Linked DNA regions of Callithrix jacchus. The protein of the gene in region 1 binds, or shares a complex with, the protein of each later gene. Links are inferred from orthologs where the notes say so. Each region holds a gene or a part of one and is shown in the gene's direction. Other genes may lie near its edges.

The links. Proteins that work in one complex are often made in the same cells at the same time.
Region 2: the proteins of MPP1 (region 1) and GYPC are in contact, whole or in part, in an NMR structure (PDB 2EJY), measured with the Homo sapiens proteins. The link is inferred for Callithrix jacchus from reciprocal best matches to the Homo sapiens genes MPP1 and GYPC. Residues at the interface, in NP_002427.1 of Homo sapiens: Pro81, Met82, Gly83, Ile84, Leu86, Lys87, Leu88, Leu100, Val130, Gln134; in NP_002092.1 of Homo sapiens: Arg123, Lys124, Glu125, Tyr126, Ile128.

The regions. Positions count from the first base shown.
Region 1 is NC_133524.1:150,532,388-150,536,090, reverse strand, and holds part of MPP1 (55 kDa erythrocyte membrane protein), read left to right. Parts: intron 1-70; coding exon 71-214; intron 215-486; coding exon 487-565; intron 566-1,217; coding exon 1,218-1,303; intron 1,304-2,198; coding exon 2,199-2,267; intron 2,268-3,703. UniProt on the Homo sapiens protein: Essential regulator of neutrophil polarity. Regulates neutrophil polarization by regulating AKT1 phosphorylation through a mechanism that is independent of PIK3CG activity.
Region 2 is NC_133507.1:111,487,831-111,492,158, forward strand, and holds the start of GYPC (glycophorin-C), read left to right. Parts: upstream 1-1,390; 5' UTR 1,391-1,532; coding exon 1,533-1,572; intron 1,573-4,328. UniProt on the Homo sapiens protein: This protein is a minor sialoglycoprotein in human erythrocyte membranes. The blood group Gerbich antigens and receptors for Plasmodium falciparum merozoites are most likely located within the extracellular domain.

The DNA.
Region 1 (3,703 bases):
TGCAGATAATGCACTGACTGTGGGCCTCACTCCTGATTTCATACATTGCTCTGTTGTTTTGATTTTACAGGCTGTCTCACATCCATTGAATACTGTGACCGAGGACATGTACACCAACGGGTCTCCTGTCCCGGGTAGCCCTGCCCAGGTCAAGGGGCAGGAGGTGCGGAAAGTGCGACTCATACAGTTTGAGAAGGTCACAGAAGAGCCCATGGTAATCACTCATCATATTGTCGTCACGACTTATTCTCTGCCTTGTGAGTCCCTGGGCCAGAAGAGTCAATGCAGAAGGCTGCCCATGGAGTTATGGAATTGGCCAACTCCAGTACTGTCTCTTCATCCCCATCTCAAGTCCCTGTTCTAGTTGAGGACTATCCTGGGTATAAATGGAAAATACTTTTCCTGAGAAATTGCCATAAGTTCCTTCTAAAATAACCTCAGAAAGGGCTTAAAATAAAGCTTATTGTGCCATTGCCTTTATTTCAGGGAATCACTCTAAAGCTGAATGAAAAACAGTCCTGTACAGTGGCCAGAATTCTTCACGGCGGCATGATCCATAGACAAGGTACTCTGTGGGAGCTCTGGGGGGATTATTCAGGGATTAATCATTTACTCCGTGTTCAGTGGTGTGGGGCATGAAGTTTACAATCCTCCAGACTGGTAGCTCAATAACTGGCTCTGTGGAATCACTGCATGGTAAGATCTCTGTGTGAATTACCCAGTGCCACCATCTCTCTCGATATCTGAGTCTTCTTTCACACCTATTTACACCAATATTTTTCTAGTAAGTTAATACTTGAGCAATTGCCACATGCCACCCTTTCCATTAGACTTGGAAAGTACAGCAATACCATTTGGTAGCATTCTGGGGTTTGAGCTAAACAACAAAGAAACATGGAGCTTGCTGGTGACTGAGTACTTTGTTATTCTCTGTAGTATATATGTCTGTGTCATAGTCTGCAGTCAGTAGCCACAGTAGTTCCAGGAATTTGAGGCCAAGGAGGATGAGTGCTTGCCTTGATGCAGCAGCCCCTGGGGTATTCAAAAGGGCATTCCCATCTCTCCTGGTGGAAAGTTTTCAGTCCTGAGGATTTTACACGATGTTTTACAACATGCTCTAAATCCTGCTTTCTCTTCTATAGTATCTTAAGTTGCATTGACAGCTCCTGTTTGAAAACGTTTGTGCTTTTGTGGACTGATTTTTCATTTCATGGCAGGCTCCCTTCATGTGGGGGATGAGATCCTAGAAATCAATGGCACGAACGTGACTAATCATTCAGTGGATCAGCTGCAGAAGGCGATGGTGGGTATTCTCTATGCGAGATGAAGACCTTCCATTGTCTTCATGAGTGTTGATCCAAAGTATTTGTACCTTATTGAGGGCACTCTTTTCCCCTCTCGCCTTTATTCTGTGTAAGAATGATAATTTTCTGCCTTTATTTAGTAAACTTCTAAAGCAGAATAAGTAACCTGGAGCATCAGTCCGATATTCCATGAACTAATGCTAAATAAAGTAAAGCATATAGTAGAATCCGATTTTTGTTTAAAAAACATATGTATATGTATGTATAATGTATATAAATATTTGTGATGCTTTTATTGGTATGGGGAAAGGCGTGGATGTATATGCGCCACAGTTCATTTTTAGTAACTTCTTGGAGACTTTTTGGAGTCAAGAGTGGGGAGGAAAAGTCTTTTTTTTTTGAGAAGGAGTCTTGCTCTGTCACCCAGGCTGGAGTGCAATGATGCGATCTCAGCTCACTGCAACCTCTGTCTCCTGGATTCAAGTGATTGTCCTGCCTCAACCTCCCAATTTAGCTAGGATTACAGGTACCCACCATCACACCTGGCTAATTTTTGTATTTTTAGTAGAGACGTGTTTCACCCTGACCTCAGGTGATCCGCCCACCTCAGCCCCCAAAAGAACTGGGATTACAATAGGCGTGAGCCACCACGCTCAGCTCAGAAAAGTCTTACTTAGCTTTTCTTTGTTACTCTTTGTATGTCTTCATGATGTTATGCTGGTCTATGGGGCACATGACACTTTTGTATTAAAGGAGGAATTGTCCTACAAAATCTCAAAATGTAAAGATGGTTGTTGGGGAAAAAATCCTGGGACTTCGAGGAGGGAAATTACTTTATGAAACCTCAAATTATTAAACTTAGTTTTCTGTACAATTTTATGACTTTTTTCATAGAAAGAAACCAAAGGAATGATCTCATTAAAAGTAATTCCCAACCAGCAAAGCCGTCTTCCTGCACTACAGGTGGGTGGCACCATTTTCTCTGTTGTCATGATGGCAGAAGTTGGGCCATGTTGTCTTGTATTCTTTAAGATTTGATTATAAGGGATGCAAGTCTAACTTTTAAGTTTTAAATATGTCACAAGTGAGTAGCTGCTTGGCTCAGGGTTCCATTATACCCTGCCTGGTATTAATACAGGAGCTCATTCCCCTTTCCTCAAGGGAGAACACAGTGAAGACAGTAGTAGAGAATGAATGAGTCTTTGCTGCTAGTGATCAGATAGGAAGGAAGAGAGTAATCTTATTCTACAGATGGTAAGGAATCAATACAGCTCCAGGAGGAAAAGGGGTAAAGGGAATGAAGAGCTCATTCGCAGGAAGAAAACTACAAATGAGCATTGAGCATATGAAAAACTATTTTATTTTACCCATCATCAGAGAAATGCAAATTAAAATATGCATGAGACACCAATTTTCACCAAGCAAATTGGCAAATAATTTTTAAAATAGTAACAATAAAGCACCATGATTGACAGCAGCAAAGTAAATAAAGCACTTATTCAGAATTTGCTGAGGGTGTACCATGATATAAAGAGAAATGGTTCCCAGTTCACACACAGCTCATCAGCCAGTAGAGGAATAGATTGAACAGGGCCATGGCAAGTGTATAATTTTCTTAAGTCAACAAATTGAAGTTTTGGCATATGTGGGCATATATTCAACAAAGGGCATAAATCACAATTATAAAACTGGATGAATTTTCACAAACTGAGTACACCCATGCAACCAGCAGGCAGATCCAGAGACAGAACCCCCATGCATGTCTCCTGAAGGCCCACCGTAACCCTGACTTCTAATGGCAAGAATGACTTTTGCCCCTGTTTGAAATGTATTAACATTGAATTATACTGTATGAATTCTTTGGTGTCTCATTTTATTCACTCAGGATTATGTTTATGGGAATCATCGATATTGCTTCATTCTCATTCATTCATTGTATGAGCATGCTACAATTTATTCTGTCAGCTTTTTTGGTCTTACGTAGTGCTGCCATTAACCAAACAGGGTCTAGTTGAGCAATAGGTGAAGATTTACTGCCTGAAGGCCAATAAATTCACCACATTAATAGAAAAATGGAAAAAATCATATGATTTTTCTTCATGTGTTTGGTGCATACATCTATGCTTTTCTTTCGAGAGTACAATTGCCCGGCTGTACGATATGTATGTCTTCATCTTTAGGTGATATTACCAAATAGTATTCCAAAGTAGCTGAACCACGTTACATCCCCAACTACACAGTATGACTGTTCTGATTTGTTTTTTAGTTTTTGTGTTTTTGCACTTTGGCCGTTCTGATGGTGGTATCACATTGTGATTCTAATTTGTATTTCTCTAATGACATATGAAGGTAAACTACTTTTATACGTTTTTTCCACTTAGATATCTTCTTTTGTAAGA
Region 2 (4,328 bases), on another chromosome or scaffold:
CTTTAATTATGTGAAATGCAATTGGAAAGTTAGAAGGAAGGGGAGGAGGACTATTGTCCCACCTAGACATTATTGTATCTATTACCAAAAAAAAAAAATGAAACTGTTAAAGTCATCGTTGCTCGTTAGTTTATTAAATGCCTTTTCTGTTCCCACTGGGATTCTACCATCACTGCCTCTGTAAAACCCTGGCATGCAGGTGATCTTGCCTCCATTTTATGCATGAGGAAATCAAGATTCAGGGCTTCCCCACCAGGCCGAAGGCATTCTGTGAGTAGTTTACTTCAGATCAGCATGCCCGTGCTGCACATGGCAGTTTGACTAAAGATCTGTAAGCAGTGGGGGTTCTTCACGACCTAACAGAAGAGAATTGTGAGTGCTTTCCCACTGCAGCAAGAAGGCCTGGAGCTTGTGCAGCCCACGTAGAGGGGAGCAAAGCTTCTGCGCTGCACATCTCTAGGGGTCAGCCTCTCATCGTATTCAACACAGAGCACAGCCCCAAAGGCACTGCTCACACATTGTACAGACAGCTGGCCTGGCTCTCTAGATTGTGCAGGACAGGCCTTAATGGCAGAAGGTAGAGGAGAGGAGGGAGTCACAGAAGTGCTTGGGAAACTATGAAGTAAACAATGAAAAGCAGCACAGGACGGTTCAGACGTCACACAGGAGAAGTACAGGGTGTTCCCCTGGGCGGGGTTTTAAAACAAGGGCCTCAAATTCCTGGGCAAAATGGGCAGATAATGCTATGATACATTTTTTGTAGGTGGTGACAGTTGACTTGCATTTAACGAACCAAGGTATGTATGGAAATCCATGTGGAGGTTTTCATGTCAAAAGTAGAACAAATTCACAAACTCCACTACTTCTGGCAGCTTCAGACAAAGGCAATGGGAACAAATCACCTGACACTTGCCCAGCAATTCTTCCTGTTTTGGAATAATCTTTGCTAAACAGGCCATCCATGGGTACAGGGCTCGCAAAGGCCAACAAGACAGGGACTCTCCCCAGGGACAAATGCCCCGCGGCAGGCTCAGAGAGGCCACCCAGCTATCCAGCGGCGGCGCAGCCAGCCAAGATTTCAACACAGTTCTGCCCTATTTGGTCACCATCCCCGACAGTGTTGGGCCAGGCCATCATTTCACATCAGGGAGTTTTCCTTGCACTCCAGGGGGACTTCTCAACCACAACCTCTGTATCCGGTAGTGGCAGATGGAAAGAGAAACGGTTAGAAAAGCGTGGTTCTTGCGCAGGAAAGTTGGAGTACAGAAGAGTTCAGAAGTGGGCGGGTGTGTGTTTAAAAAAAAAAAAAAGGGTGGAAACCCCACCAGCCAAGTCTGCAGAAAAAAAATAAATGAAGTCTGCCTATCTCCGGGCCAGAGCCCCTCCCCTCAGCCCTCGCGGGAGGCGTGTGACCCAAGTGGCCGCTTCCTCTAGTCGCTGAGGGTCAGGAGCCCGGGAGCGCGACCCTCCCTCGGCCCGGCCCGGCGGGTCTCCGCTGCGTCTGCCCGGTCTGACGCCCAGGACCGTGGGCCATGAGCAGCCCCAACCGCACGGCGCCGCCCCTCGACCTCGGTGAGTACCCGCCGTGGGGAGGGGTCCTGGGGGCCCGCGGGAGGCCGCGGCCCGCAGCAAGCAGCCGGGGGCCAAGCCGCTGCCACGTACGCCCGGGTGTCCCGATCCGTGCCCGGCCTCTCGGCGGAGGAGGCGCCCGCGGGGCTCAGATCCCCGACTCCAGCCCCCTGTTCCCGGCGCCTGGGCTGCGCCTTGTCCCTGTCCCGCGTCCCGGACACCGTCGCGCAGCGTCCACGCGCCCGGAGCTGGAGAGGCCTCCAGCCCGCTCGCCCAGGGCGCGTCGCCGGCTTTGTGTTTCTTTGTGCGTGGCATGTGAAGTGTCAAGGGCCAGAATCGTCCCCCTAAAGAACAGTTAGGAAAGAGTCCACAAGTTGTGTCTGTGCTTCTGCCCAGCCTGAGGCTGGCGGGCGGGCCCGGGTGAATTTCAGGCAACTCCAGCCTTGCCCAGGGACGTGCTGGCTCCGCTGGGCGCCGCAGGGGCACACAAACGCGGGAGAGTCGCGGGCCTGAATCCTTTGGGGATTTGTAATTCCTCGCTGCTTGTTTTCTTTCTCTTTTAAACCGTCACGTTTTCTTGCTGACGGGAAATCCAATGCGATGAAAGTTTTTATAGGTGCTTGGAAACATTGCTGGGCCTCTCTCTGCCCTTTTCCTCTGCCACTGGGCTTTTGCAATAAAAACTACCATTTTATTTAACCAAAAAGCCGAATGCATGCCCCTGTTATCCCTCATCCTGGCGTCCGATCCTGAGAGTCTGTCAGAGAGGAGCTATCCTGAGCCTATCATGTGATAACGTTACCTTACTAACATGATAACGATATGGGTATTGGAGACACCAACTCTCTTAGAAGTCTTTGAAATCCAGAGGGCTGTGAGGCCTCATCCCTCACCCTGCCGGAGCTTGGCATGGATAAACGTGGCTTCAGTCTACTTGTGTACGCAGCACTGCGTGTGCCCATGGTTCTGCTTGGGCCAGCCTGGGAGTGAGGAACATCAAAGGTGCTTGGGAGTAAGGCCCCTGAGTGTGCACTGGGATCATCTGCACTGCCTCTTAGCAAGGCAGTCTCTCTTAGCTCCAGATTACTCATCTGCAAATTAGGAATAATACCAGGAGAGTCCTCATCTTAGCAGTAAGAAGTGTGTATAAATGGCTCCACACAGAGACGGACACACCCTAAGTGCTGGATCCAGGCCGGGCATCTTCATATAATTGTACGTGGTTTCCAGAGTTCACATGCTTTAGTGTGTTTGCGTATGTGTCTAACTTGAGCATGTATTTGTGTGTGTGTATATGGCGGGGCCTGGGTTAAAGGGACAGAAGCCACTGTCCTTATTCCAATTTAGGCACTGAGGAGGTGAGACTGAAAGACATCCCCATGTCTGAAGAGGATGGGTTTGCTAGACCCCCGCCCCGTGCCCAGCCAAGCCTAGCCCCACAAGCAGTTCTCCAGGACTCAGGTTTCTGACCTTCAACACTTACCTTGGGAGACATACAGCGGTGCAGCCCTTGCTGGCGTGCTATTACACATTAGACTTCCGATTGATTTATGGCAGGATCCCTGCTGTGTGGGAACTGCAGGGGGGTGGGGGGAGGCAGCTATTTCTTGCTGCTAACTCAGGCAGGATGTGTCTATATCCTGTCTCAGTTTATGTAGCTGCTCATTAGATCCAGAGGTTAGAGTGGAGAGGACCCACTTCCTCCAGGCAGGCTTGCTCTGCTCAGGTGGACTAAGTCCCAAAGCCACAGTTACTATGCGTGAGTCATGCACAGCAATTCGTTTACCTTGACCTTGGATGGAAGGGGTCAAGGCTCAGTGAGGAGACACGGCCAGGTTTGGCAGCTTTATATAGAATTCACCACCTCTGGCAGAAGCAGAGGATTCCATTAAGTATCAAATGAAATTCCACCTCAGCCATTGCTCAATTCCTCCAGATGTCACTGGCACTGGGAGTCACATGGTGCTTGCAGTCAGCAGCTGGACCTTTCCAAGGGTGCCTGTAGTTAGGCAAGTATTTCTGGGGACTTGCAGAGCTCCCTGGAGAGCAAAGGGGTGGGAAGTACAAGGCATTCTACGCACTTGCGGTGGGAACAAATGAACCCCTCTGCAATGCTTAGGAAAAGGCCCCTCAGTGCGGGTGAGAGGTTGGAGCATGCCTCTTCTATGACTCAAGTGCCTGTGTGAGGCCGCAGCCAAACCGTCTTCCAGTAACTGAGGACATGCAAAGGGCCAGCAAGCATGCCGTAAACACAAAACCAAACAAACAGTAAAGTTAACAGTGAACAAAGAGTTAAAAATAGGAGAAAGACACCTTCTCCCTACCGCAAAAGCAATTGCTTTATTTCTCGAGAATAATCCTTCCAGAAGTAAATTTGCCAATACAAATATTTCTTATTTTGCATAATAAAATGTATTTGATGTATTTTAGTTCATCTTGTTCTTTTCCATCAGAATATCTCTTAAACATGATACCTCAACACCATATATAGACTAGCCCATTCTTCCCAGGACTGCATAGTAAGAATTGTATTAATATATGAATGACCTTGGTATTTTATTTAACCAATTCCTCTTCTGCTGGGCATTTAGGCTGCGTGCAAACTTCATTTAATTTTTTAAAGCAAACACAGTTTTCCTGTGACAATGAGTAAGTAGGGTTTATGTGCAAGTGACTGTAAACTGTTAGGATAAATTCTCCTACCTCAGCATTTAATGTCTGTATCCATTTAAAATATTAGTAGATCTTGAGTAACTACC